2 linked regions of the Notamacropus eugenii genome follow. The protein of the gene in region 1 interacts with the protein of each later gene in a biochemical or structural test. Links are inferred from orthologs where the notes say so. Each region holds a gene or a part of one and is shown on either strand. Other genes may lie near its edges.

Region 1 (10,916 bases):
CATGTAGTTGTGCTAAATGGATCCACCATAAATCCATGTGACCAGATTTCAACTGGGTGCTCATCATCGTAAAAGTAATCCTTTTATTCTTTCATATTTGACTTCTTATCACATACCTTCCCCCAACCCTCCGGTGTCTATTGCAAAATTTCTCTTCTTTCTCCAAGCCTCATAGCTCTCCCTCTCAGTAGAGTGGCACATCTCTTATTTTACTGAGAAAGTCAAATATTCATCATGTGCTGCCTCTTTCCCCCTACTCCATACCTCAAAACCATTCTATGTGATCCTTTATTTTCTTCTCCTTTGTCTTAGTCTCTGAGGAAGAGATGGTCAAAACCAACCCTTGTCTTTATACCTTGATCCTACACCTCAGCTGGGAGACCTTCACTTCAAACATCCCCTTTCCCCATCAATTGCTTCCTTCTATGTGCCTGCAAATGCATTCAGTTCTCTTCACTGCACTTGACCCTGCCCTGTCCTCAAGCTAAAGTCCTGTATCTTTCATTTTTTCACTGACAAACACCTGGAAAACTGCTTATACTTGTTGCATCTATTTCTGTACCTCCCACTCATTTTTCAACCCTTTGTAATCTGGATTCCAAGTCTTCCCATTCACTGGAACCACTCTCTCCAAGATTACTCATAATCTCTTAACTGCTAAATCCAATGATGTTTCTTCTCAGGACTTTCCAGGCTGCCATTACCATTGGAAAACTCCTTAACCCTGCCTTCTCTCTCATTCTCACTCAGTTTGGCCTCAACACTCACTTCCTTTATTTCCTTTCTTCTACTCTGCCCCTGTATTTCATGTCCTCTGGGACCTTGTTTTATTGTGTCTTTTTAGAAAAAGCATTTATTGATGTTGTGTGTGTGTGTGTGTGTGTGTGTGTGTGTGTGTGATTTACCACCTCATTTCCCCGGATAGAGTTCTTTCTTGTAGCAAAGAAAAAACATCAAGATAAAATATCCTATGTAGAAATAGTTTTTTCTGACAATATATACAAGAACCTAGTAGTCCCCCTATCTCTCTGTCATGAGTGAGGGAATTTGTATCATTATCTCTTCAGCAGGACCTTCTTGAGATTTCTATTACTCAGAGATTAACTTTTTAAAATTGATCTTTTAATTTATTTCACTATAATTATGTAGTTACCTTGATTCTGTTTAACATTCTTCCCCTACATCCTTCATCAAAGACTCCCTTGCAGCCTTGATCGCTTCCTCTTACTGTTGAACCGTTCCTCTGCTCAAACATCTTCAGTGGCTCCAGAATTCAAGTTTTTCAACCTGGCATTTAAAGCCCTCCTCAATCTTACTGTAATCTACCTTCCCATTCTTATTTCCCATTTCTTTCTTGTGCACACTCTACATTCCAGTCAAACTGGACCATTAAGCTGTACCCCAAACCCAACATTCCATCTCTATGACTTGACACAGGCATAGAATGCCTGGAATGCACTCCCCCTTCATCTCCATCTCTTTCAAGGCTTGCTGCAGGTGCTGATTCCTGTGGGAAGCCTTCTGTGCTCTTCCAAATAGCTATTGCTTTCTCCTTCCTCAAACTTGTATGTATTTCTGCATATGTTACGTACTTCCACTCCACCCCCCAGTAGGATGTAAGCTCTTTGAAGACAGGGACTTTCACTTAGGTCCATGTTGATACTGTTACTCATTCTTCATTCTAGAAGAGGCTAGACTGCCCAAGAGAATCTTTTGGGCAACGTTTTTCCCCCCAAACCAGTGACTTCATCAGTGGGGAATCCCCAGGGTAGAAACTCAAAACTTCCTCCACCAGTGATGATTTGCAACTCATTTTTTAAAAATAAGTTTTTGTTATCTTTGGTTTAACATTATCTAAAATTCCCCCTGGAAAATTCTCCCTCTGGGAAGCTAGGTGGCACAGTGAATAAAGTGCCTGGCTTGGCATCAGGGAGACTCATCATCTTCCTGACTTTAAATCTAGCCTCAGATACTTACAAGCTATATGACCTAGTCAAGTCACTTAATCCTGTTTCCTTATCTGTAAAATGAACTGGAAAAGGAAAAGGCAAACCAGTGCAGTATCTTTGCCAAGAAAACCCCAAATGGGATCACAAAGAGTTGAATATGACTGAACAACAACAATAAAAATTCCCCCTTTGTCTCTCTCTTCTTCTTCCCAGAGCCATCTCATACAACAAATAATTTTTTTAAGAAATAGAATAGAAAAAAACTCATCATAACCAATCAATCAATCCATGAACAATATTTGAAAACATATGTAATGTTCCACAGCCATGGACCACTTGCCTCTGCAAAGGAATGGAGGAATGTGTCTTCTTGTGTATTTCTTTTGGGACTCTGCTTCCTTCCCTTTGCATCAGTTCATGTAAGTCTTTTCAGGCTTTCCTATACACACCATATTTATTTCTTCTTATTGCATAATCATCATCATCTTCTTTAGTTCAGTCATTTTTCAATTGAGTCTGAATCTTCATGACCCCATTTAGGGTTTTCTTGGCAAAGATACTGGATGGCTTGCCATTTTCTTCTCCAGCTCACTTTACAGATGAGGAAACTGAGGCAACCAGGGTTAAGTGACTTGCCCAGGATCATATAGCTAGTAGGTGTTTGAGGCCAGATTTGAACTCAGGAAGATGAATCTTCCTGACTCCAGGCCCAGCCGTCTATATCTACTGAGCCACCTAGCTGTCCATCCTCACCATCATCATCATCAATCGCAATCATGATAATAACAGCTCACATTTATGTAGTACCTACTATGTGCTAGGCACTTTACTAAGTGCTTTACAATTGTTATTTCGTTTGATTGTCACAACAGTCATGAGAGGTAGGACCTATTGGTAATCCAACTTTTCAGATGAGGAAGCCAAGGCAGACAGAGGTTAAGTGACTCACCCAGGATCATACAGCTAGTGTTTGATAACACCCAAGGTATCTCATCATATTTATGTACCACAATTTGTTTAGTCATTTCCCAAATGATAGTCATCTATTTTGTTTCCAGTTCTTTGCTCCCAAGAAAAGTGCTGCTAGAAATATTTTGGTGTATACAGGGATTCTCTTCTTATCAATGACTTTTTTGGGATATATGCCTAGTATTGGAATCTCAGGCTTATTTTTGTCATTTATTTAATTCCCAATTTCTTTCTAAACTGCTTATACAACTCGTATCTCTACCAAGAACACATGAATGTGCCTATTTTTCCACAAGCTTTCTGATCTTGACTGTTCCCGTCAAAGAGCTTAGCAGTTTGCTGGATGTGAGGTGAAACCTCAAAGTTAGAGTGTTGAGAGATTATGTGACTGGCCCAGGGTCACTCATATGGTCTGTATCATAGGATAATAGGACCATAGATTTAGAACTGGCAGGGGTCTTTGATTCCAATCTCTTCATTTTATAGGCAAGGAAACTGAGGCACAGAGGTTAAGTGACTTGTCTTCAGTCACACAGTTAGTATGTGCCAGAGATAGGGCTTCAACCCAGGTCAGCCTAACTCCAAGGATGCTCCTTGTCCTGAAAGCCTCTTATTTTGTACATTGTAAGAACTTAATAGATGTTTAATGAATCAAAACTGAATAGACTTTTAAATCATTTTTCTCCATGTACATGACATCTCCTTCCCTTAATCCTACCTCAGACCTTAAGCTCCTAGAAAGCACAGATTGTTTTATCTTTGTATTCTAGTATTCCACATAAACTACGTGCTTGGTACATGGCAGTTATTGAATAAATTGAATTGTTTAATAAAGAATTCAACTAATGAAATGAAATGGAGTGGTGGTATCAATGAGGAACTGGAGGAAGAAGATACCTTATTTATCTTGTAACAAACAAGGATGATCAGGGGAGCCCCCTGATCTGCACATCTTAGGGTACTTCCCATGGGAGTGGGCAGTTATACTTTGAGTCATTTGGGAATGGGACAAAGCCAGCAAAGAACTGAATTGGAGACATTAGGTGTATCTAGGTAGGTGGTGGATTCTTGGGTTCAATTCCTGAGTTCCTGCCTCAAACACTTACTAGCTATGCAACCCTGGACAAGTCACTTTACCCTATTTGCCTCAGTTTCCTCATCTGTAAAATGAGCTGGAGAAGGAAATGACAAACCACTCTAGTATCTTTGTCAAAAAAATCCCAAATGGGGTCATGAAGATTTGAACACAACTGAAAAATGTTTGAACAACCACAATATTAGGAGGATCAAAGGAAGATGAAGCTTGTTCATACTGGGCAATTAGAATCTGAGGAATCTGGAGTATCCCAAAGGATGGGATGGGCTTAGAGTTGGGACAAGGTAAGAGGGGAGCCCCATGCTGCCTACAAAGTACTGTGGATGCACCAAAGAGATTGTGGGACTTGGAATCCTGGGACATGAATTCAAATCTGTCTTCTGTTTATTGTCACAAGCATTGGGAGCCTCAGTTTCTCTAAAAAATAGGGTGGTTGGAGTAGATGATTCCCAAGGCCACTTTTAGGTCAACATCTTTGATCCTGTTAGAAAACAGGTCCTTAAATGTTTTTGTGCCCTGGACCCCTTGGCAGTCAACCTGGTGAAGGGTATGGGCCTCTTCTCAGAATAAGGTTTTCAAATAATTTAAGGAAATGCTAAATTTCAGTTAGTGGGTGGTTAAAATAAACTGTGTCATTTATAAAAAAAAACAAATTTAAAGATCCCTTGAAATCTATCCAGGACTGTAAGTTAAGAACACTTCTTTCACAGGGATTTAAGAAGACCCTTGGTCAGTAGCCATAGCAGAGAGAGCCCCCGGACCTGAGCCAGGCTCTCCAGGCCTTGCTCTGTAACCTTGGACAAGAGCTCCCTCCTTCTCTCTGACTTTAGTTTCCTCTTCTATAAAAAGGAAAGGTCAGGGATTAGACTGGAGGATCCCTAAAGTCCCTTTCAGCCCCAACATTCCATGGTTCCAGGACAAGTTTGGTCCCAGTGGTAAGGTCCTTCAGAACCTGGTCTCTAGTAAGTTTGGGGAAATTTCATCAATAATATTCTGCTCTAAAATGGGGCCTAGCTGGGGGCTGGTGATGGTGCACCAGCTGTGGATTTAAGCCCGTTGAAGTTTTGTAAAAGGTTTTCCCCAGCTAGGAGCCAACTGGCTGAAGGCAGTGTGGCCTTCAATGGATACAGATGTGCCTTCCTTGGAGGAAGGCTGGAATCTTTGGTGGCTAGTGGGCTTTAGTGCTGCTATGAGCTCTGGGTGCCCCCTTTCCTTTGGTTATTGATGTAACCATGGGTCGGGGGAGAGGACTTGGGACACAGGGAGGCTGAGTTCTCGCCCTACCTAAAGGAGGCAGTATGATATGATATAGTATAAATAACCCTGGTTCTAAGCAGGGATTTTTCACCTGGGCTCTGTGGATTTGACTTTGTAAAAATATTTTTCGAACTGTGCTTCAATACAATTGGTTTCCTTCTTTATCTTATGTATTTTATTCTATGTATTTAAGAATGTGACTCTGAGAAGGGTCCATGGGCTTTAGCAGACTGACTGCTGAAGGGAACCAGGACATGAGAAATGTTATGAAAGCTTATTCTAGAGTCGGAAGAGCTGACCCTCTGTGATGACCTTGGGTCAGTCACTTCCCCCTCTTCTGTTGTAAAAGATGGGGTCCCTTATAGCTTTAGATGTAGGATGCTAGGGACCATGTAATAAGAGACCGTCCCTGAGGCAACCTCTGGGTCTGAGGCCCAGGAACTCCTGCCTGCCCCCAGTTTGAAGATTTTCCTCCATACACAGCAGTTTGTGACTTTGACGTAACCTTCAAAGGCCTAGTTGCTCCCTCCACATCTGGGTGGGTGGTTTTCTCTTTCTGTCGTCTTTTCTTTCCTGTCTTCCTTATCACGGAAATAGGTCACATTTCAGAGAAACCAGTTGACAAACAGATTCGTTGACAGAGGGTGGTAGCTAGAGCCAGTGGTGGCTGGGCCTAGACCCTGTCCGCTAACTGCCTTCCCCACCCTGAGACCCTGGAACCCAGGGTAGCCTTTCCCTCCATGGAACTTGGCCCTCCAAGAGACTGAAGAAGACTGAGGGAGCCAAGAAAGCCTGGTTCCTTGGGCCTAGCGCCTCCTGAACCTCCACAGGTAAGCCTTTTCCTTATTTCTGATTCCTGGTTCTGGCTGCTGTCCTAGACTGAGAAGGATAGGGATGCTCTGGGAGTTAGGAGAGAGCTGGCCCATACTCACTAGAAGTCATAATGATGACTCCTTTTTCCCATAACTCAGGGATCATGCCTCAGCCTTGAGCCACTCAGCCTCATGGTCCCCAAGCAAGAAAGAGAAAGAAAAAAACATTGGGTGCTAACCAGTATTTTGTGGAAGGGAGGTTATCTTTCCCAAGGCCCAGAATTCCCCAGCCCAGGGTGTCAGAGTGGTGGACCAGCCATTCCTCTAGCTCTTTGTGTACTGTAAGCAGGGATGTCAGGAAATGGTCAGGGAGCAGTCAAACTAGGGGTTAGGGATTGGTGAATTTAAGGGATAGATTTAGGGATAGTCAAACTAGAGAACAAAGCCATCGATAGACTAGATATGGCAAAGGGACAAGCAAATGCTGGGTCACAGGAATGATAGATTGAGTATTTCAGGAATGGCCAAGCTAGGGGGTTGAGATCTGGAAGATGGTTAGCCTAGAAGTTCTTGGAATGGTCAGACTGAGGCCTTGGGAGAGAGACTGGGGATAAGCAGATGATCAGACCATGGAGTCAAAGGGATAACTGGACTGGAGATTGGGGCATATTCAAACTAGACAGTTTAAAGCATGGTCAAGCTGGGGTCATTTGGTGTGGTCACATTGGGAAGACAGAGAACAGTTAGACTGGGAGGAGGTCATGATAGGTCAAACTAAAGAGTCTAGGGGAGTCAGATGGACGGGTCAGAGTATTATTAGACCAGCAGTTCAAGAGATAGTCACACTGGGACTTCAAAAGTAAGTTAGACCCAGGAGTTTCGGATATGGTCAGACTAGGGAGTCAGGAGACAAACTGAATGCTCAGAGGAGGGAACTGAGGGTGGTCAGATTGGGTGAGTCAGGGGGATGATCAGATAGAAGAGGGAGGCTATGATTAAGCTGGAATTTGACCAGACAGTAGGACTGGGAGGAGTGTTGGGACATTTGGGACATCAAGGGTTGGGACATCAAGACAGAGGCCTGTATGAATTCGTTTCTCACTTTCCAACTCTGCATTTAGGACCATTTCTCCTTGTGGGAAGGAACTGGAAAGCCTCTCACCCTTTGTCAGTTCTGCTCCAGCCTAGACACCATCAAGTAAGTAATTTCCCTGTGCCAGGCTGAACCCTTTTAGGGGTGTTAAGGGTACAGACTGGGCCAGATAGTGGTGATAATGACGGTCCAGTGGTAATGACATTTATAACATCTCACATTAGTACTCAGGGGTGAGAATGATGGTGCTAGCACAACGGTGGGGAAACTGTGGCCTTGAGGCCACATGTGACCTTATAAGTCCTCAAGAGAGGCCCTTTGATTGAATCCAGACTTCAGAAAGTTTGGATTCAGTCAAAGGGCCGCACTTGAAGACCTAGAGGGCCACATGTGGCCTCGAGGCCGTAGGTTCCCCACCACTGTCAGCTAACAGTTCCCACTGGGGACCTGTAGTAATTCCAGATCTAGAAATTGAGGAAGGCCTTGCATACTGTTTTTATAGTCTCTTGCCTAGAGGGAGATGAGCCTGGACCAGAGAGAATCCCTCCTCACTCTACTCCTTTTCACATGGATGAAAGGGGCGCTTTTTCCTGTGTCCCTAGGTCTGTTCTTAGTCTTTGGAATGGGCCTTTGTATCCCTTAGCTTCCCCTCCTCCTTTTCTTCCTCTTTCCTCTCACAATAATAATAATCTAAAAGGTGGAAAAAGATTCATAGATGTTCTCAGAGCACATCATAAACAGGCTACAATGCTTAGAAATTCTTCTAGAACATATATTAGATTGTAAGTTCCTTGAAAGTTCCTTGCCTCTTTGTATACTCCCCTGCATTTAGCATAGTGCTTGGCACATAGTAGGTACTTAATTGATTGATATAGACAGATATCACTTCACAGAACAGTAAGTAGTAAAGGTAGACAATAAGGACACGTTGCTGTAATTATCAACTGTGGCCAATATTGGTTGGATGGAGTCTCTGAAAGGGCTAAAATCTAAAAGGAGAATCAAAGGGCCATCTATGGGTAACATCCATGTGAACTTATATTGACAAATAAGCCTTAAAGAAATGACCAAGCTGGACAGATTTGCTTGATGGAATGGAGGGGTTTATGGTAGTAATGTAGGACCAGGTCATTGCCCCCAGAAAGCACAGAAAAGTCAGACTTAGGTAGATGATAGATAGATAGAGAGATATGGATATAGAGACAGATTGATGGATGGATGGATAAATAGGGAGGAAAAGGGGGCAAAAAGGAGGGAAAGAGACAGACAGACAGACAGGTTGCTAGGTAGTTGGAACAAAAGTAGATATGCAATTACTGATGTGCCAGGTACTGTACTAAGTGCTGGTCATACAAATACAAACAAATAAGAGAGTTCCTGTCCTGCCTTCAAGGGAATCTCCTTGAAGGAGATATTTTAATGAGGGAAGAAAAGAGATATTTTAATGAGGAAAGAAAACACATAAAGAATAACTGGAAAAGGAAAAGGGTGGTGTGGGGATGGGAATGTCATGGTTGGGAACTGTTTGGACGCCGAGCTCAGGACAAGATGAGGGAAAAGCTCATTTATTATAGCCCAGATTTTCAGGGAGCAGATTATGTAAGGAAATAGTAGGAAATTCCCAACATTTCACTCTGGTTTGCAGGTTAATATCTATTGAATATCTGCAAAGAGACATGAACAGGTGGTCAGAATACTAGAAGCTTCCTATCCTTTGTATATCAATAATAAGCCTCTGTATTACAAATACGGATCCCAAAATATCCTTGAGAATTCAATGAATAAACTAGTAGAGATAGAAAATTGTTCTAAGAGAGCCTCTTTCTTTTGTTATGAATTGCTTGGTTCTTTCATGCTATGCCTTTGATTGATTCAAGGAGGTGTACAGGCCCTGTTCTTCAATTCTTAGTGTTGGATTCCATCTAAAACTATTTTTTACTTAGTTAAGGTAGGAGAGGTTAAAAAAAAAAGGTATGTGTGTGATTTTAACCCCATCTTTGGAAAGGGATAGATATCTCAGGATAAAAAGACAGAAATAGTGCACGCAAAATACAAAAATGTCCCTTTGTCATCAAGAAACTTCTAACTGATAAGACACCAGACACATCTCTCTCTCTCTCTCTCTTTTTCCATATATATATATATGTATATCACATATGTATCTGTATGTGTATAGAAATATGCCTGGTGTCACAAGTTAGAACACACATGTGTATGTGTACATAAACATATATGAATGCATGCGTTCATATGTGTATGTATACAGATACACACACATATATGTACAGGACAAGAAAAATCTCTTGTAGAAGGGTGTACTTGTGTTGAATCTTGAAGGAAAGTAGGATTTCAAGAAGCAGAGACAAGGAGGTAGAGCATTCCAGAAATGAGCCAGTGCAAAACTGCAGAGATAGGAAATGGAAGATAGTACGTAAAGAGTGTAAATAGGCCCATATGAGTGAATAAGAGTCAGGAGATGAGGATAACTTGGAGATTTTGAAACCAGGAACCTGAAAGGATTAGAGGGCCCTGTACAATAATTGGGGGCTTTGAAAGAAGGGTCAATATGGGGTAGATGGATTAAAGGTCACCGTGAAGAAGACGAAGAGGTTTAAGAGGAGTAAGATCTAGGAAGAGAGGGAATAAGAGAAACTTAGGCTTCTGACGAAATAACTTCAGCATTCTTTAAATATGGAATGCTTCACAATTTTGTGTGTTGTCTCTGAGAAGGAACCATGCTAATCTTTGTAAGTTCCAATTGTAGTACATGTGCTGCTGAAATCAGCACTATTTCAGCATTCTTGATCAAGGAAGTAGAACATTTGTGGGTGATTGGGAGATTATTGAAAGAGATGAGAACAAGTTAATAACAAATATAATAAGAGCTGGCACTTATATGGGACTTTTGTGGGGTGGTTCTTTGTAATTTATTTTTTTAAATTTTTTGTGTTTATTTTTAGTTTTCAATGGACACTTCCACAAGATTTTGAGTTACAAATTTTCTCCCCCATTTCTCCCCTCTGACCACCCCAAGACAGTGTGCATTCTGATTATCCCTTCCCCCAATCTGTCCTCCCTACTATCACACCTCTCCCTTCTCTTATCCCCATTCCCTCTATTTTCTTGTAGGGAAAGATAGATTTCTATACCCCATTGCCTGTATGTCTTATTTCCCAATTGCATGTAAAAACAATTTCTAACATTTGTTTTTAAAACTTTGAGTTCCAACTACTCTCTCTTCCTCCCTCTTCACCCATCCCCACTGAGAAGGCAAGCAATTCAATGTAAGTTATACATTTGTAGTTATGTAAAACACTTCCATAACAGTCATATTGTGAAAGACTAACTATATTTCCCTCCATCCTAGCCTGCCCTTCATTTATTCTATTCTCTTTTGACCCTATTGCTCCTCAAAAGTTTACTTCTAATCACCTTCTGCTCCCATTGACCTCCCTTCTATGATCCCCCCAACCCCCACTTATTCCCCTTCCCCTCTACTTCCCTGTAGCGCAAGATAGATTTTCATACCAAATTGAGTGTGCATGTTATTCCCTCCTTAAGTCAAATGCGATGAGAGTAAGGTTCACTCTTTCCCTTTCACCTCCCCTGTCTTCCCCTCCATTGAAAAAGTCTTTTCTTTTCTCTTTTATGTGAGATAATTTGCCCCATTCTATTTCTCCCTTTCTCCTCCCAATATATTCTCTCTCCTTTTCTCACTCCTTAATTTTAATTGTTTTTAG
Region 2 (10,829 bases), on another chromosome or scaffold:
ATTCAAAGAAGGCCAGACAGTAAGAAGGCAGAGACCCCAGACTTCAGGTTAGACTGGGGTGACTGGGAAAAAAGGGTAGATACTTACGGGATAGGGAGCAGCACCTCTGGCTGGCTGGGTATTGTAGATGGAAACGTAACATTAGTGTCTGTGGGGTAAAGATTAGGGGTACATGGCATCAGAGGACCTGGGGTAGGGGGAAGGAATCAGGACAGGGCTGAGAGCACCAAGGAGAGGCAGAGGACCCTCAATGTGGCCCTCAGTGCCTAAAAGGACATTTTCTTCAAGAAATTCAAGATCCAAGGGGACTGGGGACTGAGGGGTCTCTTAGACAAGTTCATTATTCATTCAACAAACATTAATGAAGTGCTCACTACATCCAGAACATACAGAACACTGGGCTAAAAGCACCATGAACAAAATTTAGCAGACATGGCCCATAGCCCTCTCATGGAACCTAAAACCCAGTAAGGGAGAAGACACAAGAACAGATGGCTAGCATTCACAATATTACATGAGAAATGTATCAGAGAGTTGACAAAACAACGGGATAGGAGGTCAGAGGGAGAAAGTTATTGACTGGGGGAGGGGGGAGCTTCCCAGATACGGGGGTGGGGGCTTAAAAAAAAGATGGCAGGAATTCGGTACGTGAAGAGAGGAAAGGAGGACATTTCAGGGATAGGACACATAAGGGGAGGTTCTATTGCTTCTTCCTTTTAGAAAAAATATAATTTTTAATATTTTAATTTTTACTTATTTTATTATTTATCTGATGTTATTTTTAATATATTTTTAAAATATTATTACATGCAATTGTTTCTGAAAGCCCTTCACATCTATCTACAGTGCAGGATCACAGAATTTAAATCTGTAAGAGAAATTTCAGAGTTCAAGTTTGGCTTAATTACCTCACTTTACAGAGAAGGGCCTGTCCAAGGTCAGCTAATAGGTAACAGGGTGAGCTCTCAAAGCCCATCCTTCCTACAGATATTTCCACTTAAGTCTACTGTGATCATTTAGTAGTTTTTGCCAAATTCCTCCTTGGGAGAGGTGAAATTCTCCAGCTCTCCTGGCCTTAGTGAGGGAAATATCCTCCCCCCCCCCCCCCCCCCCCCCCGCCCCAACCTATACAATGGAAATTCAATAGGACACAACACGGCTAAAGTTAATTTTTAAAATACCAGGTTGAACAAATATGGCAAAAAATACCGTCAGCAAGAGCAAAAAGCACGTGTAGAGTTGTAAAAGTTATTAACCTGTCATCTCCCAAATTTCCTAATCCTGTCTGATTTGTGGGAGCCCTATTTCTCTACATCTCCTTATTCCTTTTCCCAAACTAATAAAGGAGGAGGTGCAGGCCACATGTGGGGGTAGTATGGCATGAGTCACTAGAAAGTAATGGCTTCCTGGGGACGTGACTCCCTTCAAGACTCAACTCACGTACCTTCTACAAGAAGCCCTTCCTCACCCCTCTCAGGCATTAGTACTCACCTCTCCTTAAATTACTTGGCATTCATTCATCTGTGAACATGTAATTCCCACCACCATGTGCCCAGGAGAATGTGAACTCCTTGTAAGCAAGAACTATCTTTTTTGTCTTTATACGTCTAACACAGAGGCCTGCCACAGAGTTGGTGTGTGTCCTTTGATCTCGAAAAAGACCATGATATCAGGGAAGTGATGCCATGACCTGTTAGAGAACTGGATTTAAGTGAGGGAGGGCTGTACAGTTACCAGCCTCACTTTGTCCTCCTGAGTCACCTAGATTCAGTAGTCGGATATAGATCAGGACGACTGGAGACGGCCCTGGATGCAGCGGGAGACCCTGGCCTTTTTAAGTTCAGGTCTTTCCAAATTCTCACTTTGACTGAGGTGACACCCATTCAACAAGTAAGGCAGGGTAAGAAATGAGCCAAGTAATGAAAGAAAAATCAGGGCTCCTGACCAGAAGAGAAACAATTAATATTTACATTCACTCTGAGCCATCAGGGCTTCAATAGTGACCACTAAGTGGGGCTTGGGCTGGGATCTATTGTTGGCCAATCAATGACAGCCAAAGTGAATTGGGTTTAAGGCATGGTCTTTGAGAAAAAAATCTAGCTCATAAACCACAAAATATCTTGCTACGTTTCAGCCCTAAAAATTTCTACTTTTTGGGTAAAGTACCATAAGATTATGATACCTTATGTGGGCAGAGAGAGAGGAAGGAGAAAAGAGAAGGAGGGAGAGAGGGAGGGAGGGAGGGAGGGAAGGAAGGAAGGAAGGAAGGAAGGAAGGAAGGAAGGAAGGAAGGAAGGAAGGAAGGAAGGAAGGAAGGAAGGAGGGAGGGAGGGAGGGAGGAAGGAAGGGAGAGGAGGGAGGGGGGAAGGAGAGGAGGGAGGGGGGAGGGAGGAAAGAAGGGAAGAAGGAAGAGCTGCATTGCCCAACTGGAACTAGCCAGTTGAGTTCGGGCAGATCAGATTATTCACAGGTTATCTGTCCTTCTTTCTCAAAGAGGACCACGACATCAAGAAGGTGATGACATGACTTGCAAGTGAACTGGATTTAAGTGAAAGAGGGCTGTGCGAAGTCACCAACCTCACTTTCTCCTCCAGAGTCATCTGGGTCCAGGGGCAAGATATAGATCAGGAGGCCTAGAGATCCTGCCACATTTGATTAAATGTAGGCATTTGATTAAATGCTTATGGAACTGCACTAAGTGGTTTGTGATCGGGTAATTCAATTCCATGAACTACTTCATTAAGCAGTCCCCTCTGTGCCTGCACAGCTTGGGATGGGAAGAAACACAAAGAGGAGAAACAGTCCTTGTCCTCTTGGAGCTATCAGGAGGCTGAACATCTCAGTGTCTAAAGAGTCTAGTCTTAATGAGTCTCAAAGCAAAGGTTCTTAACATGTGGTCTGTGGATACACTTCAGGGGCTCCACAAACTGGGATGGAAAAAGTTACATCTTTATCTTCACTAATTCTAACTGAAATTGAGCATTTCTTTAGAACACACTATTATTCTGAGAAGGGGTCCACAGGTTCCAACAGAGGGGACATGAGGCCATAGCACAAAAAAAGTAAAAAACCCCTGCCTTAAAGGGTCACTTTGCATTGGAGCTGGGCTTACAGAAGGGACAAAGAACTGGGCTTAGCTCTATGACCTCAAGCAATTTATCCCCTTCCTCCGGGGTCCCATCTTCCTGTCCCCCAAACTTGTGCCTCAGTTTGATCTTCTGTAAAATGAAGTCAGACTGGATAAATCTCTGAAACATCCTCCAGCTCTAAATTCAAGGATGCTGTGGGTCAAAGGTTGTGGTAGACATTTCAAGGGCAGGAGACTGGGAACAATGCAGACACATAACAGAAGCCATACCTTTCAAATTCTCCCTTTCTGACGCACAGACACATACCCACTCACACAGTGACTCTCCCCCAAGACTTCATTCCCTTATTTCTCAAAGCAGTCCCAGGGAAATATAGTGTACTGAGACCTCCTGCCATACTCACAGGGGCGTTTGAGGATGACTAATCCAGTGACTGGCGGATCTCTAGTGGAAAGAAGGAAGGCATGGGCTGGGGGTTGTAGAAGACAAGGCCTTGTACTTCCACACCCACCTCCAGCCACTGCCCCAATGTTTTCTCACCAAACAGCCCCTCCTCAGCTAGCTCCCCTCCTTCCAACACTGGTCCATCATAGCCACCATTTGGGAATGAGGAATAGTCAGACACTCACCTACCACTTGTGGGGACCTCCAAGTTGGGGCCTGTGGGGGAGGAGGCAGGTGAGGCTGAAGGGATGGGACAGGAACAGGAGTTACTTTAGGCTAGGGTAAGGAACAAGGGAGAGGTGACGCCGTAAGAGGGACAGTGGATGAATTTGTGAATATGGGAACATAGGATCCTTTGTGCAAGGTGAAGAGATAGTTTACAAGGTTGACTGGGTCTAGGGGCCTTCAAGTTAGAGATGAACTTAAAAGTATTTCACTTACCAGGGAGGTCCCGACAACACAAACACAGGGCAGTGACAAGCAGGGCTGGGAACAGTAGAATGAGGAGCCAGAGGAGGCTAGGACCCAGAGAGGTGGTCTCCATCTGGGGCACAGGCCAAGACCCACAGGTTAGGGCAACCTGGAAGGCCAGTCCAGAAAGCCTTCCAACCATACCCCACCCTCATCCATTCCCCTTCCCACTTGACTGGACAGAGCAAGAATTCTCTGCTCAGATCCCAAACTTTACTCCCAAGACAATGAGTAGAAATGAAGAGTTAAAAGATTTGGGGGAAGAGAACATCTAAGCCCTCAGTAGGTAACGGTGTCACAAAAGACAGGCCATAAGGGATGGAGGCCAGAAGAGACCAGTGGTTCTAGTCTCGAGGCCCAGGAAGCCAGGTATTCAGTGTGGTGTCAAAGGGAGGCAGGGGGCTCAGCCAGTTGTCTCTGTATCAGAGGGGCTCAGATTGGCATTGAGAGATAATACAGGCAAATAAGGACCAAGTAGGAGGCTCTGTCTACCTCTTAAGCTCTCATAGGGTTAGGGTGGATATGGAACACAAGCTTAAATTCACCATGGTCTCTGCTGAGCCTTACTAGCCTACTGGGAGCTGGACAGATTGGCTGGGGTGGGGAGGGTCCTGTTTGGGCACCATAAACCCACTCCACTCCCTCCACGTCCCCATACCTGGTCCCTGGTCCCGACGGTTCTGTTCCCCGATCTCTTCTCCTCCACTCAGCGCCTGCCCGCCCGCAGCAGGAAGCTGTGGTGAGCTCCGGGCGGGGACAGGAAGTTATAGTGGCTCCTTGCATGGCTGCGCCCGCCTCCCACCCCCATCCTTGTGCCCCCCAGGGGGAGGGGAGCACTCTAGATCTCCCCCATTGCCCCAGCCCAGTAATCCTACTTGGGATGGTCTCTCAGGGGCCTTGGTAACCAAGAATTCCCAGCTGTTCTCAAAGGGTCCTTCTGGATGATTAGGGTTACTTAGTACCATAGATTAAGTCAGGGCCATATGTTCCCCAAAGAGGGTCCTGTTCATGCAAGAAACGATACACTAATGGGGAGGGCAGAGAACCGAGGAAAAGAAGAGAATGGAACTTTTAACCTCTCTCAGACTCAATTTCCATCTTTATAAAGAGTGGGTTGGACAAAGGATCTCTGACATCCTTTCTATCATCCAGGGGGTAGAAGAACAGGAGAACTACTATATTATCATCCCCAGTGGCTGGACTGCCTGTCGGACAGCGAGAGGACAAGCTTCTAAAGTGTCTATTAGGAAAAGACAGTGGGTGAGTCAGTGTCACACTGGACCAGACGTCTGAATTCCAGACGGCTAGAGCAGGGAGGGCCCTCAAAGCACGTACTCTAGACTCCTGTGGCAGGAAGGGCTCCTAAAACAGACTACCCCACGTTCTAACGCTAACATACACAGAACCCTTAGCAAAGTCAGAATCAGCGTGCCACCACACAGGGCTCCTCCCCTTCTCTCGAGTCTTGGAGCTGGGAGGGAAAAGGACACAAGCTGACGCTAGGCTCTGGTTACAAAGTTTATTCAGATAAAAATAGCACCAAACCCTCCTGCCTGGATGGTGGGGGCACCTTGCCCCTGACCCCAGGAAGGCAGCTTGGAACCCACCTATAGCGTGACAGGCAGAGAGAAAAAAGATCTTTCCTCCCCAAATGGACCTGCAGAAAGTTGAGAGCACCTGCTCTGTGGCCTTCCAACCACCTGCCCCCTCCCTGATCAGGAAATCTGTCCCTGAACCCTATTGCTGTGCATATAATGCATCTATGTGTGCGTGTGTACAGGGAGAGAAAAAGGGACAAACCTCAGTGACTGCCCCATTCCTGTGGTTCCAGGTCAGAGGTCATGATACCACACCAGCCACAGAGCTGGCATAACAGTTCAGGGTGCTGGGGTTAAACTCAGAGTCTTGCCCACCACCCACCACCCACTTATCCCCCTGAGGGGAACCAGACACAAGGTGGCCTCAGGCCATAGTCCACCCAATCAGATGAGTACACTGGACACCGGGACCTTGGTAGAACGACCACGCTGAGGGACCACAATCCGATCGTCTGGAGAGGGCATGTCCCTCAGGAGGCCTGGGGAGAGAGAAGAAGTGATGAGACCAGGGGAAGATGAACATCTCAGAGAGAAGCACAGGGCAAGAGATGGAGATAGGCCTACAGGGAGGGGACACAGGCACCCCAGTGGAAGGGAGGACTGGGAAGGTACAAATGGGCAGAAAGACAAGGAGGGGTGAGGAGGTTAGGGGGAGAAAGAGGAAGGCGGATGATAGACGGAATCTGGGGAAGGGAGAGCTGGGGACATAGACAAGGAGCCCTGGGACAAGGCCGCCAGTGGGGAAAGCTCACCTTGCACATGGAGCTGGGCTCTCTTTCGATCACCTTCAATGTACATGGCAGTGCCCAGGAAAGCTGCACCCCCAAGAACCCCGACAAAGGCACAAAGCATGAGGGAGTACTGCAGGGCCCGGAACTGGGAGAGGAAGGAAGGGGGCCAGTTACGGCGGAGACGGTCAGATATCTAGAGGGGACAAAAGAGAGCAGACAGCGGTCATATCCTGGGTAGGTGAGGAGGGCTAAGGGGCTAAGATGACTTTGTGCTAAAGGGGGACGGAGGGAGTCAGAGACGGAGGAAGCAGGACAAAGGGGAACAGAGAAGGAGACAGTCAGATTATCAGCTTTGCTTGCACCTCACAATCCCATATCTGTTCAAATGCTGCCTTGAACTGTTCTCTAGTTTGATGCCCCTTGTTTCCCTACAAAAGCTCTAGACCCAGGACTACACTGTCTTCTCCCTCCAAATCAGAGAATCAGAATTGGAAAGGATCTCATTGATTACACAGAGAAGACCTGAAACATCCTGGATCACACGACTCTACCCACAAACTTTCCTAACAAGTGGTCATCTAGCCTTCACTTGAAGAAGCCCAAGGATGAGGAGTTCACCACCTTGTTACAAGGCAGCGCATTCCACTTTCTGAAAGCTTTCTCTTTCCCCAACAAAAATCTGCCTCCCCGAGTTAAGAACAAGTATCATCTCCCTTCCCCATGATGGCTCTTCCTCTCTCAGGACAGTGCTAAATACATCAGTGGTTGCTGAAATCAGACAAACTCTCCTGGCTGACAAAGACTCTCTCTCCTTCCCTACCCCATTCTCACTGCTTCCTAACCTGCCCTGGGCCAGGATGACCCAGCCAAGGCTAAAGCCTTCCAAAAGAAGATTCACACTCACCAGCCCAATGAGGTAGGGGCTTCCAGCATCCCCCAACAGATGGGACAGGACAATCTGAAAGGCCTCTGCTGTTGACCGGCGTGTCGGAATAACCACATACTAGGTAGGGAATTGAGACCCAAAGTTAGATTCCCCAAGGAGTAAAGGGAGCTGAGAAAGCCAGAAGAGAGAGGGCTAAGCTTCGAATTCTATCAACACTTTCTGAATTAAGTTATTCAGCCCAAACTACATGGAGGGAGACAGAAGAGAACGGCTACCTTCCTTATATGATAAGTGAAATTCCTAACCCCCTGGAAGTTTCAAGTTCTGTCCCAAAAGTGGAGACGGCCTCCACTGGGGCACCCACACTCAGGTAGCAACCAATAGTCCACAAGTGAGAGCAAGATGGAATCATGGATCAGTTTCTTATGACAAAACAAAGCCACTGACCCAGGGGAACAAAAGCCTTATCAAGCTCTCACTAGCCAAGGTGCTAATCACTAGGACCTGTGCGAGGTCAGAGACGGCCCACCCTCTCACCAGCAAAATGTCTGCTACAATGGCCCAGTTCATGGACAGCAGAATCTCTCCAATGAAGATGAAAACCTGAAGAGAGAAAATGGACATCAGGGAGTAACCCTGGAAAGATCAGCAGCTTTCTGCCCTTCCCTCTACTTTTTCTTGAGCCATGTTGGGGAGCTGTAGGATTGAAGCTGGGGACCACGAGTTTTGTTTCCCCCCCAACCCTTCCACCTCCACCTACTCTCACCCACCTGCCCGCCCACTCAAGCTCAAGGCTGCTACTGGGAGAGCTGTGCCTGTGCTCTGTATGTGGGGGGCTGGTTAGCATCTGCAAATGGGGAAAAATTGAGGACACTCACATAGGTAACTACAATGCTGTCCTGGGCACAAGCCAGGGCCAGAAACAGAAAAGGGGCAGATCCCAACAATCCAGCTGCACAAACCAAAGGGTCAGCCCTGGGGTTGGTGCGGCGAAGACGGCGGCTGATCTCTACACCAGAGGCCACACCCAGAATCCCAGTCACACAGGTGATCAGTCCAAAGATGAGACTGGGAAGGAGAAAAAAAGAAGACTGAGGGAAGCAACGGGCCCAAGTCTGCCATGTTTGCGTGAAAAGTCTGTGTTTTCCAAAATTCATTGTCCTTCTCTAGCAGAATTGGGCCTAAAAGCTGAGATGCTGCTGACACCAGGTATGAGCAAGAGCTCCTGCCCTGGCTGGTACCAGCTTCTGGAAACTGTGGCTCCTCCCTGAACCCAGCCCATGGGGACCCTGGTTTTTGGCTCCAGGACTTTTATCTTTCACTAGTAAATGTCATTTCCATAGGGCTTTCGAGGCTGACCCTGTGAAATGGGCAGTTCATCCTCATTCTATGGAGGAGGACACTCAGGCTAAAAGAAGTGACTGGCCAAAGGTCACATGGAAAACATTTGAAAAGACCTGAACTCAGCTGTTCCAAATTCATGTTTCCTTCCACTCTCTCATACAGTCTCCTGCTTTCTAAACCTCTGATTTTCTCAAAACCCCAACTGGATTTCTCAATGAGTTTCTTGAACCTTCCTGGTCCCAGAGACTACCTGGCTCCCCAAGCTCAAAACCCTGCAACAGCTTGTCGCTAATGTCTCCCTTCTTTGGCCACTGTGAGCCTGGATCCCTGAATCTGACATCTGCTCCTTCTTGTCCCGTTTTACCTAGCTACCATATAGATATCAGCCCACAAAATAAGAGTTTTTAGAGGGGAAGGAAGAAGGGCCATTTATTCTGCCAAGTTGTTGACTCACTGAGGAAAAACATAAACCCAGAGCCCCTTTCCATATCCCCTCCCCACTCTGAGAAGCATTCCCAGTACCTGTCTGAAGAGGAGCAGGAATCTCCAGGGAGGCAAGGTGGGGTCTCTCCTAAGACTACTCGAGCACGGAGTAGGAATGCTGGTGCCCACAGTGCCAGGGACCCCGTGACAAAGGCCACAGCCGTGAATCCCAAGGAAGAGAACACAAAACTGGGACTGTAGCAGAAGAGAGAAGGTGAGAGTTCAAAACAATCATCTCCTATCTCTCAACAACACTTAGGGCAAGGGCAAAAGTTAATTTAGGGGAGTGAGAGAGAACAAAAGGATGGTAAAAGTTGACAGGCAACCATTTGGTATGAGCAGCATTTACCCTTATTAGGCAAGGAGACAGAAGATGAAGTGGTCCATTTCTCCTCCAATACCTGGACTGTAATTTAGCTGTCCAGCCACTAGGTGGAGATGGGTACTAAGGTTTCATGGCTCACGCTTCCCACAGAGGAGAACCAAAGCGTACACAGGATGAACTCTCACTTCATTTTACTGGAAGTGTGTAAGATTCTCCTTAAAGGGCTAAAGGGGTATGAGTGAAGGCTTGTACAAAAGTCCCTGGGACTCACTTCCGAGTCAGAGCCCGCAGATCAGCCCACCAGGAGGTAGGGTTCAAGGGAGGGGTGTCTGAATGGCGTTCCACAGCTCCGCGTGGAGGTTCCCTCACCACCAGAAACAACAGCAACACTGCAATCATCCCAAGGCCTGGCGTGACCTAAGGAGAGACAACAGTCCCCCCGACGTCAGGACACACACAGAGATCACCCATGCACACATGTGCACCCGCACACAGACCGTACATGCACAAACCACATATGCACACATGTGCATGCACACAGACCACACGCACACACCACATACACAGCGACCACATATGTACACACATGTGCACACGCATGCACATGCAAGACTGCACATGCACGCACACACCACACATGCATGTACACACACACACACATACCCACTGGTGAGAAAAACTTTGGAAAAGGGTCAACAGTGAGTAAGAGGCTCAGGAAAGATGATGTGTACACCCTCTCCATCCCTGATGGAACACTCACCCTGAGTGCCCAGTGCCAATCATCAGCAACATCCTTCACTTTAGATCCTGCGATATAACCCAGACCACTGGAAAAAAAGATTATGGAATACAGATTGGAGGATCTGCCACACAGAAGCTTCTTCTAAATGAAGCCTCTCCACCCAGACTAATTTTTTTATCTCTTATTCTCCAGGTCTGAAGACAGTGCCCTAGTTCCTCCTACTTCCTGACCCCCGCAACCTCACCTGCCCACAGGGATGGCAAAGTAGAAGATGCTGAGCATCCGACTGCGCTGATCAGCCACGAAGAGGTCAGCAATGAGGGTGGGGGCGATGGTAGAGTAACTGGCCTCCCCGACCCCTACCAAGCCCCGGGTAAAGAGAAGAAGCCAAAATCTCTGGGAAAAGAATTAAAAACAAACCAAATATTGGACGTTCTCCACCTCAGAGAGTTTCACAGACCCTTTACTGACCTCCCTGGCTTTCCAAGCTTCGCGGCAAAATAAAATGAACAAAATCTACCTGAAATGCTGACTTAGGAAGTTATCTACATAGAAATGATAGTTGAAACCACATCAGTAATTCAGTTCTCTAAGGGAGAGAACACAGAGAAGAAAAGAGAATCAAGGACAAAGCCTTGGGAAACATCTACATTTATGGGATGGGCAGAGAAATGAAAAAAACACAGAGGTTAAGTGTGGGAGAAAATGAATGTCCC

Evidence for each region.
Region 2: of the proteins of ZAP70 (region 1) and LAT, one has a biochemical effect on the other in vitro, tested with the Homo sapiens proteins (2 studies listed by BioGRID). The link is inferred for Notamacropus eugenii from reciprocal best matches to the Homo sapiens genes ZAP70 and LAT.

Annotation. Positions count from the first base shown.
Region 1 is NC_092875.1:51,904,031-51,914,946, reverse strand, and holds the start of ZAP70 (tyrosine-protein kinase ZAP-70), read left to right. Parts: upstream 1-5,853; 5' UTR 5,854-6,101; intron 6,102-7,204; 5' UTR 7,205-7,281; intron 7,282-9,861; exon of another isoform or gene 9,862-9,964; intron 9,965-10,916. UniProt on the Homo sapiens protein: Tyrosine kinase that plays an essential role in regulation of the adaptive immune response. Regulates motility, adhesion and cytokine expression of mature T-cells, as well as thymocyte development.
Region 2 is NC_092872.1:46,478,856-46,489,684, forward strand, and holds the start of LAT (linker for activation of T-cells family member 1), read right to left. Parts: upstream 4,222-10,829; 5' UTR 4,147-4,221; coding exon 3,975-4,146; intron 3,774-3,974; coding exon 3,719-3,773; intron 3,534-3,718; coding exon 3,493-3,533; intron 149-3,492; coding exon 88-148; intron 1-87. Other genes in the region: SPNS1 (protein spinster homolog 1), read right to left, coding at 5,987-6,081, 6,355-6,526, 7,238-7,336, 7,757-7,822, 8,098-8,287, 9,086-9,241, 9,643-9,788, 10,132-10,198 and 1 more. UniProt on the Homo sapiens protein: Required for TCR (T-cell antigen receptor)- and pre-TCR-mediated signaling, both in mature T-cells and during their development.